Regions from separate parts of the Mus musculus genome. Here regions 1 and 3 are each reported to be linked to region 2. The links are microRNA targets in miRTarBase. Many come from high-throughput screens and were not tested one by one. Region 2 holds a microRNA gene; each other region holds the end of a gene's coding sequence. Distances are from middle to middle.

Region 1 (3,168 bases), not on the chromosome of region 2:
CTGTTGAGTCCAGAGGCTGGGCCAGCAGGTGGGCCTTCCTCTGCCCCTGGTTCCCATGTAGAGAACCCGTTCAGTGAGCCTGCAGACTCCCACTTCGTCAGACCTATGCAGGAGGTGATGGGCCTGCCCTGTGTGCAGACCTCAGGCTACCAAGGAGAACAATTCGGGATGGATTTTTCCAGGTCTGGCTTGGGTCTCCACTCATCCTTCTCCAGGGCCATGATGGGTTCCCCACGAGGAGGGGCCAGTAACTTTCCATATTACCGACGAATAGCTCCAAAAATGCCAGTGGTAACTTCTGTCAGGAGCTCGCAGATCTCTGAAAATTCAGCCAGTTCCCAGCTAATGATGAACGGGGCCACCTCATTTGAAAATGGCCACACCTCCCAGCCTGGCCCTCCTCAGTTGACCAGGGCATCTGCTGATGTCTTGTCAAAGTGCAAGAAGGCCTTATCGGAGCACAATGTCTTGGTTGTGGAGGGAGCTCGAAAGTATGCCTGCAAAATCTGCTGTAAAACCTTCCTGACTCTGACGGATTGCAAGAAACACATCCGGGTCCACACAGGAGAAAAGCCGTACGCCTGCCTCAAGTGTGGCAAACGGTTCAGTCAGTCCAGCCACCTATATAAACACTCGAAAACGACCTGCCTGCGCTGGCAGAGCAGCAACCTCCCCAGCACCCTGCTCTGATCGCTTCTCGCCACAGCGCACAGGCCAGTCTGCACTGAAACTAAAACCGCTGTAGGCAGGCAGCTCTTGTCACTGGACTCGGTCTCACTGTCCAGTGGCTCTCATGAATTTCAGCCAAGAGTAAGCAGAGAACTGTTAGGTGTAGCACTTACCCTGCACATTTCTTAGGGTGGAGGAATGCAGTCCTAAAGTAGGTTGTCATTGTTGTTAAGAATATCAAATTTAAAAATGAAAGTGCAGAAAACATTTTAACACTATTTTAAAGCTCTGTGAAGCATTTAATTAAATGTCCTGTATCCTGTGATGGGAGTATTCCATCCCTGTACAGCAATGCAGAACATACTGTGTGTAACCAGGTGACTTGGTGCTATCTGGAAAAAAAAAAAAAAGGCCCTGGAGGACAAGCATGTCTGGCACAGATGCTTAAAGTGTATCCTGAGCTAGTCCCAGGCCTCTGAAAGTCCTGTGGAGTTTTTATTTGTATCTGAGTTGCAGTCACAGGCACTGCCCTCTGATGGTGCTCACACTGAGTCCAGGGAAATATGCCCTTGGACTAACAGGTGTATAGACTTTCGAATACATCTCTATGGCATAGGTGTTTTTAGTAACTTTTCTGTTTGTTTTAAGAACTAAAGTTGTAATGGAGTGTGTACTTGTAGGAGTGACAGTGAGGTGTTTCTGTTCGTGCTGTGTTAGCAGGGTTTTAACCAACGTGTATTTCTGATACTGTACTTGTTTGATGTAAGTGGGAAGCTAGTGTCCGTCTTTCCTCTGGTGATACGGAGTCCTGTGTATGGGTTCTCACGGCGCATTTGCCTTTCATGCCATCTGGATGCCCAAGGCCACCCAAGATCAGCTGCCCTTGACCTTGTCACGTCTCACTCCCAAGCGCCATAGAACACCTCTCCTGGCGTAGCCAGTTAGACTAACCACAGCAGCGCTGCTGTAGTTTTCTTCCTGTTGCATACGCTCTCACAGCTACACCTCAGTGTTCAGTGGTGTCCCTCCTCTAACTCAGTGTTGAATCAGACTTAACTGTAGGAGTGTTCATGTCTCCTCAGTTCTTCACAGGCTCTGGAAGAGTCAGGCAGCCTACAGCATAGAATTCACCAAAAACACCCAAGATTCTCGGGGTGGCATTCAGTTCTCTGTCCCCTGATAACCATGCTGCCAGGGCTGCTGCATCCTGACATGCACCCAGGAGAATAGCACAGTTTCATGCATATCTGTAAGCTAAAGATGGACAAGAATTTTTTTCATACTTTTTTCAGAGATACCAAACCATTGTACACAATTCAGAGAAATTCATTAACTTTAGAGAGCCACATATTTCTGTATATCCTAAAACAAAAATGAGCATGTGTCTTCTCTTAAGCTGGTGTGACCATGAATCTGTGGCTTGACCTGTAATGCTCTGAGAAGGCATGACATCTGAGCTGATTGCCAGGGAAGCAAGCCCGAATGGCAGGCTGGACTCCTGCTGCTGAGCAGCTGTGGGCAAGACCACTGAAGGCACTGGAGTCACTTGAGAAGATGTTGTGTGGCTGATGGTCAGCAGTCCTGTTGAGACACGATGGGGTGGGTCTATATCACCTTCATAAGGACCAGTGGGAGTCAGCATGGAGAACCAGAGCGGCCCTGCTGGATGAGGAGCCAATGTCACAGGCATAGACTAGCAGTTGTCCTTTCTGTCTTAGGGACGTGGTGCTTCAAGTCTGCCCCTCACCTTGGCTTCGATACAAGTGGGCTTTGCTCTGGGGCCTGTCCCTGGCGCTCAACAGAGCCTGCCTCTCTGCTGCTGGGTGGACCTGGAATCTCATCTACCTCTGTAGTCAGTCTCTCCATGTGAGAAGCAAGCTTGAGGCCAGTGTCCTCCGACATGCCGTAGCACTTAAAGATTTCCAAGGGTCCCTGGGAAACGAGCCCAGGGTCGCTGCAGCCTGGAGTTTCACAGGGATTCTAACGGGGACTGGGGACCTGACTTTTGACTTTTAGCCTTAATTCTAGCCCGGCATAATCATGTACAATCTTTTGGAGGTGGCATCAAGTGTAGGGGCACCCTTTCAGGTGCTAACGCTGGTCAAAACAGATTTTAAAATTAAAACTTTGTCATATCCATGCCTCTAAACACACGGTCTCCTTTGCTTCCGTTTGGGTTGAAACAGAGCAGGGATGCGCTTCTGTACTATACTGCAGCAGTTCGAGCCTCCAAGATAGGACCGCTCCATCCTTGAGTTAGTCCTGCCTCTCTGCAGTGCCCGCTCTGTGGCTGTGTGGGAAGTCCTGCAGTGCGGTGCTTACAGCCTGGCCTTGGGGAGAGTGAAGGGGATTTAAAAGGAGCACCTACCCGGAGCACAGAGGGAGCAGCAGGTAGACACAGACACGGATCAAAACTGGGAACCCTGCTGTCACTACTGCTGACCTACTGTGCTGACCTGCTGCCTCCTCCCTTGCAGTTTTCTCCCCTGGTAGTGTGCT
Region 2 (3,168 bases):
TTTTTCTGGGGAACCTGAAAAATACAGCTCTACTCTTTGTCTCCTTTCAAAGATGACAGTTGTGACATCAGAGGAAATATACAGCAAAAATGCAGTACAATGTGAAACATAGCTTGTGAATCTTATTTTTAGGTACATTTTTAAAACATACCTTGTTTTGTGTTAGAGGGTTATCTGTATAATACAGTGTTAAGATACCAGCTTTTAAAAAGACATTAGGGGTTAAATCAAATTGCTAGCCTACAGGGTCATGGGATAGAGAGCAGGAAGGAACATACTCTTTTTGAATAATACTTGTGGAAGAGTTGTCCTGGCACAGGTGACTTACTTGGGTTCAGTTGTTAACATCTCATAGGTCATTGTCATTGTCTTGAACAAGTGACATATCTACCGACACTATGCATCTTGGGAAATTACATAAATTCAAGACATTACAAATGTACATATGTTGAATGGATTTGGTTCTTTTATTTCATTGTGTATGATGATTTCTAATGACTAATGTGAAGTCACACAGGAAACAAGCTTTGCATTGTTTTTGTCTGCTCAAAGTGTTGGCTGTATGGCTGTCATCTGCGTCTGACAGGCAAAATGATTCTCAGGGCTGAGGCTGGTTCTTCTGACTGCACATCTCTGCTTTCTTCAGTGAGATCCTCTTCTTCTGGAAGCTGGTTTCACATGGTGGCTTAGATTTTTCCATCTTTGTATCTAGCACCATTTGAAATCAGTGTTTTAGGAGTAAGAATTGCAGCACAGCAGAGGGTAGACTACAGAGGAACAGCTGTACACAGAACTGGCTCTCTCCTTCGAGAAATCAAGGGAAGACTTGAATAGTGACATTTGCTCTTGAGTCTGTTTGGTTTAGAGGCAGTGATAGTGAGAAAGTTTTTGTGTTCAGAATGTATAAGGGTATAATCAGGAAGTGGTCTACTTTATTCAGCATTCCATGGGTGGAAGAGGGTTCCTTGGGCCTGCACTGTTCATTAATTGTAGCAAGGAAGGGGTAAGAGCTCTGTATGTGGAGGACTGCTTCATTCACATCAGTATGGCTCGTCTGAACCTGGAAGATCCATGGAGCACTCATTCAGTCCTGGTTGCAGCACAGCTGAAATCAGACTGTCACCTGCCTTGAGATTCAGACCTGAAGAACACCACCAGTCGGTCCATCTCTTACACAGGCTGACCGATTTCTCCTGGTGTTCAGAGTCTGTTTTTGTCTAGCACCATTTGAAATCGGTTATGATGTAGGGGGAAGAGCACCAGCCTCAGAACCTTGTGGTGTCAGCATCAGCATCAGCCTATCACTTCCTACGTGGGCAGAGTGGAAAAGGAAGATCACAGTTTCCTAACTTCTTTAATTCGTATGTATGTGGCTGCCAAGGTTAGAGATCACTTAGTGGGGGGTTTTAATTGTTATAATTTATTGTTGTAAAATATTCTCAGTTACAATTTCTGACATGTAGTACTGTTATAAACTAAGTACTGTTAAACGTTGGCTTTAATAAATAATTTGCTACATTCAATCTATCATGTCTGTTTTATCTACTATTTTTCATTCATAATTCTATGGCAATGAGAAGTGGTCCCTGGAAAGTTAATTTGCTGTGCCAATCATAAGGAATTGGAAGTAGGTTGCTGCATGCAGACATTAAAAATGAAGGTCATTAAGACAGGAATGAAATTCTAAAGATGAAAGATTAGCAGAGACAGAAGGTTGGAGCTCTAGGCTGAGGGATGTTACTAAATGGGAAGACTATTCTTGGTTCCAAGGGAACTGTGGACTCTGACCCTCCTCCTGTCAGTTGCTGCAGGGAACTTACTTAACTGCACTGTCATGTGGCCCTTAAAGGGGAGCAGGCTAATTTCAGTTGTATTTGTAGCAGAGGGAGTTCTACTTTCCACTGATAGTTTATTTCAACCCTTCAGTAGGCGGTGAAAAAGTTCTATAAAACTGTTCAGAGATTTGCCAGCATTGGGGGTGGTGGAGGGGCAGGGTTCATGATTGGGGAACTTTCAGGAAGAAAGCAGGTGGCCCCTTCCATAGGAGTTGCATAGCTAACTATGAACTACCTGCAGTACAATTATTTCAAGCCAGTAGGTTTTAATAACTAATGGCAAATCAGCTGCTCAGGAAGCTTCTTCTAAGCCTTCATCCCAGTTGCCTTACCCCAGATGGCTGCCTTGCCCATTTTGCTGGAAGTGGGAGGCTGTTGGAGAATTTGCTGGAAAGACTTCCCAGCGACTATGATGCATCCTGCAGCTGCAAAGCTATTTCAAGCCTTTGATTGAAGAATCCATGTTCTAAGTCACATCTAAGGATGTGCTGGTAGGAATAGCTAAGTCCCTCAGCTGTATTTTTTAATTTACCCCACTAAAGTAGGAGACTGCAGCTCCTCTAAGTATGACAGATTGGGTCTGTGGTATTAACTACACATTAAGTCTTTAAAAAAAAAAAAAACATAGCTACTCTGTCCAAAGCTCCCAATTAATTTGTACTGAAAATTTGATTGAAACTCCCCCAGGCCATGATTCTGGCTCTTTAATGAGTTAAGTGCTAGAAAGTTGAATTTAATATCAAAGCACAAAAACAATGATTTAAAATTTATTTCCATTTAGAAAAATCATAATATTCTCATTGAATACTTAAACTTTGCCATATCCTGATGTCCTGAGAAGCAAATTGAAACCAGAACACCTCTCAGTTATTTTTTATCTGGATGCTTATAGCCCTTTACATAAAATTGTCACTCTGGGATAATTTTTCATAATTGGCTAGTAATGTAGGTTTTTTTTTAACAGCACCCTCCTGAATCAGATTTATAAAACCATGCTGTCAACCCAGGTATAAAGACTTTTGTTAAAGCATTAGTTTTTTAAAATTAAGCCTTACCAGACTTTTTAGAAGTGAATACAGTGTATTTTTGTTAACTGGGGGAAGAAAGATCTGCAACCAGTTTAGTAGATCAAATGAATTAAGTTTAGTCCCTAGCATCTTTAAGAAGTTGGTCTAGGCCTTCTGTTTGGAAGCTGGCATATAGTCTCAGGAATAGATAGCACATTGATATTAACATACTTTTAAGGGAAGCCGGAGATAAATCTGTGTTTGATCTGGGGCACATTCTACCTCAGTACCACATTACTGTGGCTTTGGTCACCAAAAGAGTGATC
Region 3 (3,136 bases), 140 Mb from region 2:
AAACCAATAGTCTGAGTCTAATCCGGACAGCCAGTGCTTCCTCAAGTAAATCTTTTGACTATGTAAATGGCGGTCAAGCAAGTACCAGCATTGGGGTTGGCACTGAGGGAGTTACTAATCTAGCAGCTACAAATGCTAATCGATATTCAACTATCAGTCTACAAGAAGACCGGCTAGGTCACGCTGGTGAAGGTAAAGAGCTCCTCAGCCCAGGAGCCCCCTTAACCAAGCAGTCTCGATCCCCAAGTTTCAATATGCAGCTAATATCCCAGGTGTAGTTCTGATGCCCCTTGTTCTGCTAACCTTCTACACTGAACATTTCATTGTGCAAGACACGTCATCCCGCATTGTGAAAAGATGTCACTGTCATCAGATTTGACTTAGCTTAGGTATCTCATACTGTATTTTGTATGGAAACAGCAATAAGGTTTTCCTTTCCTTTCTTTTAACCTCTCTACCTATTCCCTTAAATGTGTTTGTGAAGCAGTGTAAAACGTTTGCCTTTTCCATGCCTTCCTTTCTCCTTGGGTGATGTGCAATCCATCGTAGGCTGATCGGTCCCATTTCAACACTGTGAGACTGAGGAGATGTCGAGGAAATGGTGTATAAGATCCCTATGAAATGATTCTTTGGCTTTTGTTTAAAAACAAAACGGGTTTGTTCACATAATCTATGAACTATGAAGATAACTGGATCATATGTTTTCTCTCTAACCAGGAGTGCCTCAGAGATTCTGCTATGACTTTGGGCTTCTCTGAGCCTGTGCAATTTTATATTCTTGGGAAGCATGGGGGAAAGTGGTAGACTACTGCAATTTTTTTATTAAAATGAGGCTAACTGCCCCCCTTACTTTATCCCAAGGACACAAATGTTTAATTATTGAGGCATTTAAATCAATTTGTGACCACCTCCATTGGAGGGTAGGGCTCTAAGTTGATTGTGTGATTGATAATGCACTTTCTCAATGGCTCTCTAGTCATTAACAACAGGTCTTCCCTCCTCCCACAAGGACTTAAGGACATTTCTGCCCTTAAAGTTTGAACTAACAAATCAGAGACTCAAAGGGGCGTGTTCTATTTCCCAGGAATGATTGATATTATGGTGCTGGGGCTTTGTTGGGGGAAGGGTGTTGTTTGTTTAGTTTGTGTGAGATTGTAAATGAGGTGAAGTTATAATTGTTTTCTTTCTTCCTTTCCTTTGTGAGTTGGTGATGACTGAAGTAGACACTGTACGTCTTCAGGTAAAGAGAGGGATTTCTCAGTCCACTCTCTGAGATATCAGACTAGAGAAACCCTTTCAGCTGCTTCCTAGATGTACCTAGATTCAGTCAGATATGGGATACAGAAACCTAAAGTCCTGAGATCATATACTCCAAGGAAACACATCAGGGACAGGTGATTGGTTGAAAACACTGATGCTTCTATGTGACACATTTGTATAGAACATTTCTACCAGAGGGTACTGACTTGATTGCTCTACAAGGACCACACTGCCTTTGTGTTTATTGCAGTTTGTGTATCTTCTGATTATCTGCAAAGTTTCTCGTTTTTATAAAACGTTGAAATCATGCCAGTAAACTAGATGTTGAATGTAAATGAGTAGCATTTGGTAACTGCTAAGAGGCTACAAAAATGCATTATTAGTTTAAAGGATTTTTGTTGTGATTTGGTTGGATAAGACTTTCTTATAATCTCTTCTGGGTCTCAGGCTTTGTTTGAAAAAGAAGGGAATATATTAGGATTTTAAAAATCAGTATTGTGTGACTTCAATTGCTATGAATTACCCATCTCAAGAACATCAGTTACACACACCCTTGTACATGTAGACATTTTATGTATTGTGAATGAAAATTACACTGCCTATATAGGAAGCAAGTGTCCTCTTAATTGACAAAGTTGTTTTATCTCTATTTACCGTAAAATTTGATAAATTAAATAGCCAGGAAAACGCCTCTCTTTTTTTTTTCATACATAAACCACCATTTTTGGAGGAGTTGTCTATCTGTCCATCTGTCTGTCTGCATTGTGTTAGAATAATCCTTAATTAGATTTGATAGTTTATAACATTTTTCAGCTCCCAGCAAATAGGGAACTAGAACCTCAGCTATTATCCACATCATTGCCAAACTTTGGAGTAAAACTAAAAGCTGAAATGTGATCTATTGATTGTTTATAATATGCGTATGATATGTGTATCCATTTATCACAGACACATTTTAGCCCTATTTCTACTAATTTAACTAAGAGATATCAAGTAAACTTAAAAGAAAAAAGAATTGTAAAATAGTAAAATAAAATGTTTTTGTAACCTACTGAACAGAGAGGCTTTGTGGTGCATAAGGAAGGTATCAGTCTTAGATGGCAAAGCACGCCTACTTCATGCTGGAGCTCACAGGCGCACATGTAACAGACTGGCATTTAAACCAAGCATTTTAAATAAAGCACAAGAGAATACCAAATAACTTGAAAGTATAGCATAAACTGTTGTAAATATGAGAAAAAATCTTTTGATTAGAAACATCATAACTGAAGAGTTGGTTTAAGAATCAGGAATGGTGGCATACACCTTGAATCCCAGCACTCCAGAGGCAGAAGCAGGTGAATCTCTGAGTTCAAGGCTGGCCTGGTCTACAGATGGAGTTCTAGGACAGCCAGGGCTACACAGAGAAGGCCTGTCTCAGAAAAGAAAAAAAAAAAAAAAAAAAGGTTTTTTTCATCTTTTTGTTGGCATGTGTAGACTTTGTATATACATCCCAAGTAATATTTCACAATCCTGAAACATTTGCTTCATATTCTTTGGGCTATAATTTGGTCTCAATGAACAAGTTCTTCATTTACACTTTATAGCAAGGGTCTTAGAATACATTTTCTGTGTAAGATAACAGTTAAAATGAAATGAATTAAAATTAGACAAACTACCAAGTTTTCTAATGATCATTTCAACCACTTTATGTTACCATCATTGAATTTAAAATGGTTTTTGTTCAGTTATACAGCAGCTGTTAAAAATGTCATAGAAAGTTAGAAATGTCCATAATTTAACCTTTAATAACTTCCCTTTAATATTTCTCAGCTTTCATGAAGCTTCATCGCACTAGTAGAAAAAAAGCATTTAGGGGAAAATATTTGTCTTATAT

The links. The annotated mature microRNA mmu-miR-29c-3p reads UAGCACCAUUUGAAAUCGGUUA and lies in region 2 at 1,219-1,240, shown strand. An mRNA with a match to its seed (bases 2 to 7 or 8) in the 3' UTR can be bound and repressed. Matches are read on the target gene's strand: a 7mer-m8 pairs with bases 2 to 8, a 7mer-A1 pairs with bases 2 to 7 and ends in A, and an 8mer does both.
Region 1: the mRNA of Zbtb5 is a reported target of mmu-miR-29c-3p. Seed matches in the 3' UTR shown: 8mer at 1,053-1,060, 7mer-m8 at 1,206-1,212, 7mer-m8 at 2,393-2,399 and 7mer-A1 at 2,757-2,763.
Region 3: the mRNA of Fam126b is a reported target of mmu-miR-29c-3p. Seed matches in the 3' UTR shown: 7mer-m8 at 1,100-1,106.

Annotation. Positions count from the first base shown.
Region 1 is chr4:44,990,892-44,994,059 of GRCm38, reverse strand. Zbtb5 (zinc finger and BTB domain containing 5) reads left to right here. Exons shown (of 2, transcript NM_173399.3): 2 at 1-2,818. The coding sequence ends at 690. Among named protein-coding and RNA genes, the nearest start is that of Grhpr, 11 kb to the right of the region's middle.
Region 2 is chr1:195,036,382-195,039,549 of GRCm38, forward strand. It overlaps Mir29c (microRNA 29c), which reads left to right and starts at 1,166; the gene lies at 1,166-1,253. A330023F24Rik (RIKEN cDNA A330023F24 gene) reads left to right here. Exons shown (of 8, transcript NR_015566.2): 8 at 1-1,527. It overlaps Mir29b-2 (microRNA 29b-2), which reads left to right and starts at 659; the gene lies at 659-739. It also overlaps a transcript of Cd46 not described here.
Region 3 is chr1:58,526,800-58,529,935 of GRCm38, reverse strand. It overlaps Fam126b (family with sequence similarity 126, member B), which reads left to right. Exons shown (of 13, transcript NM_001310598.1): 13 at 1-3,136. The coding sequence ends at 278. All of the region lies in intron 2 of Gm15834 (a long non-coding RNA gene), which reads right to left. Among named protein-coding and RNA genes, the nearest start is that of Gm15834, 23 kb to the right of the region's middle.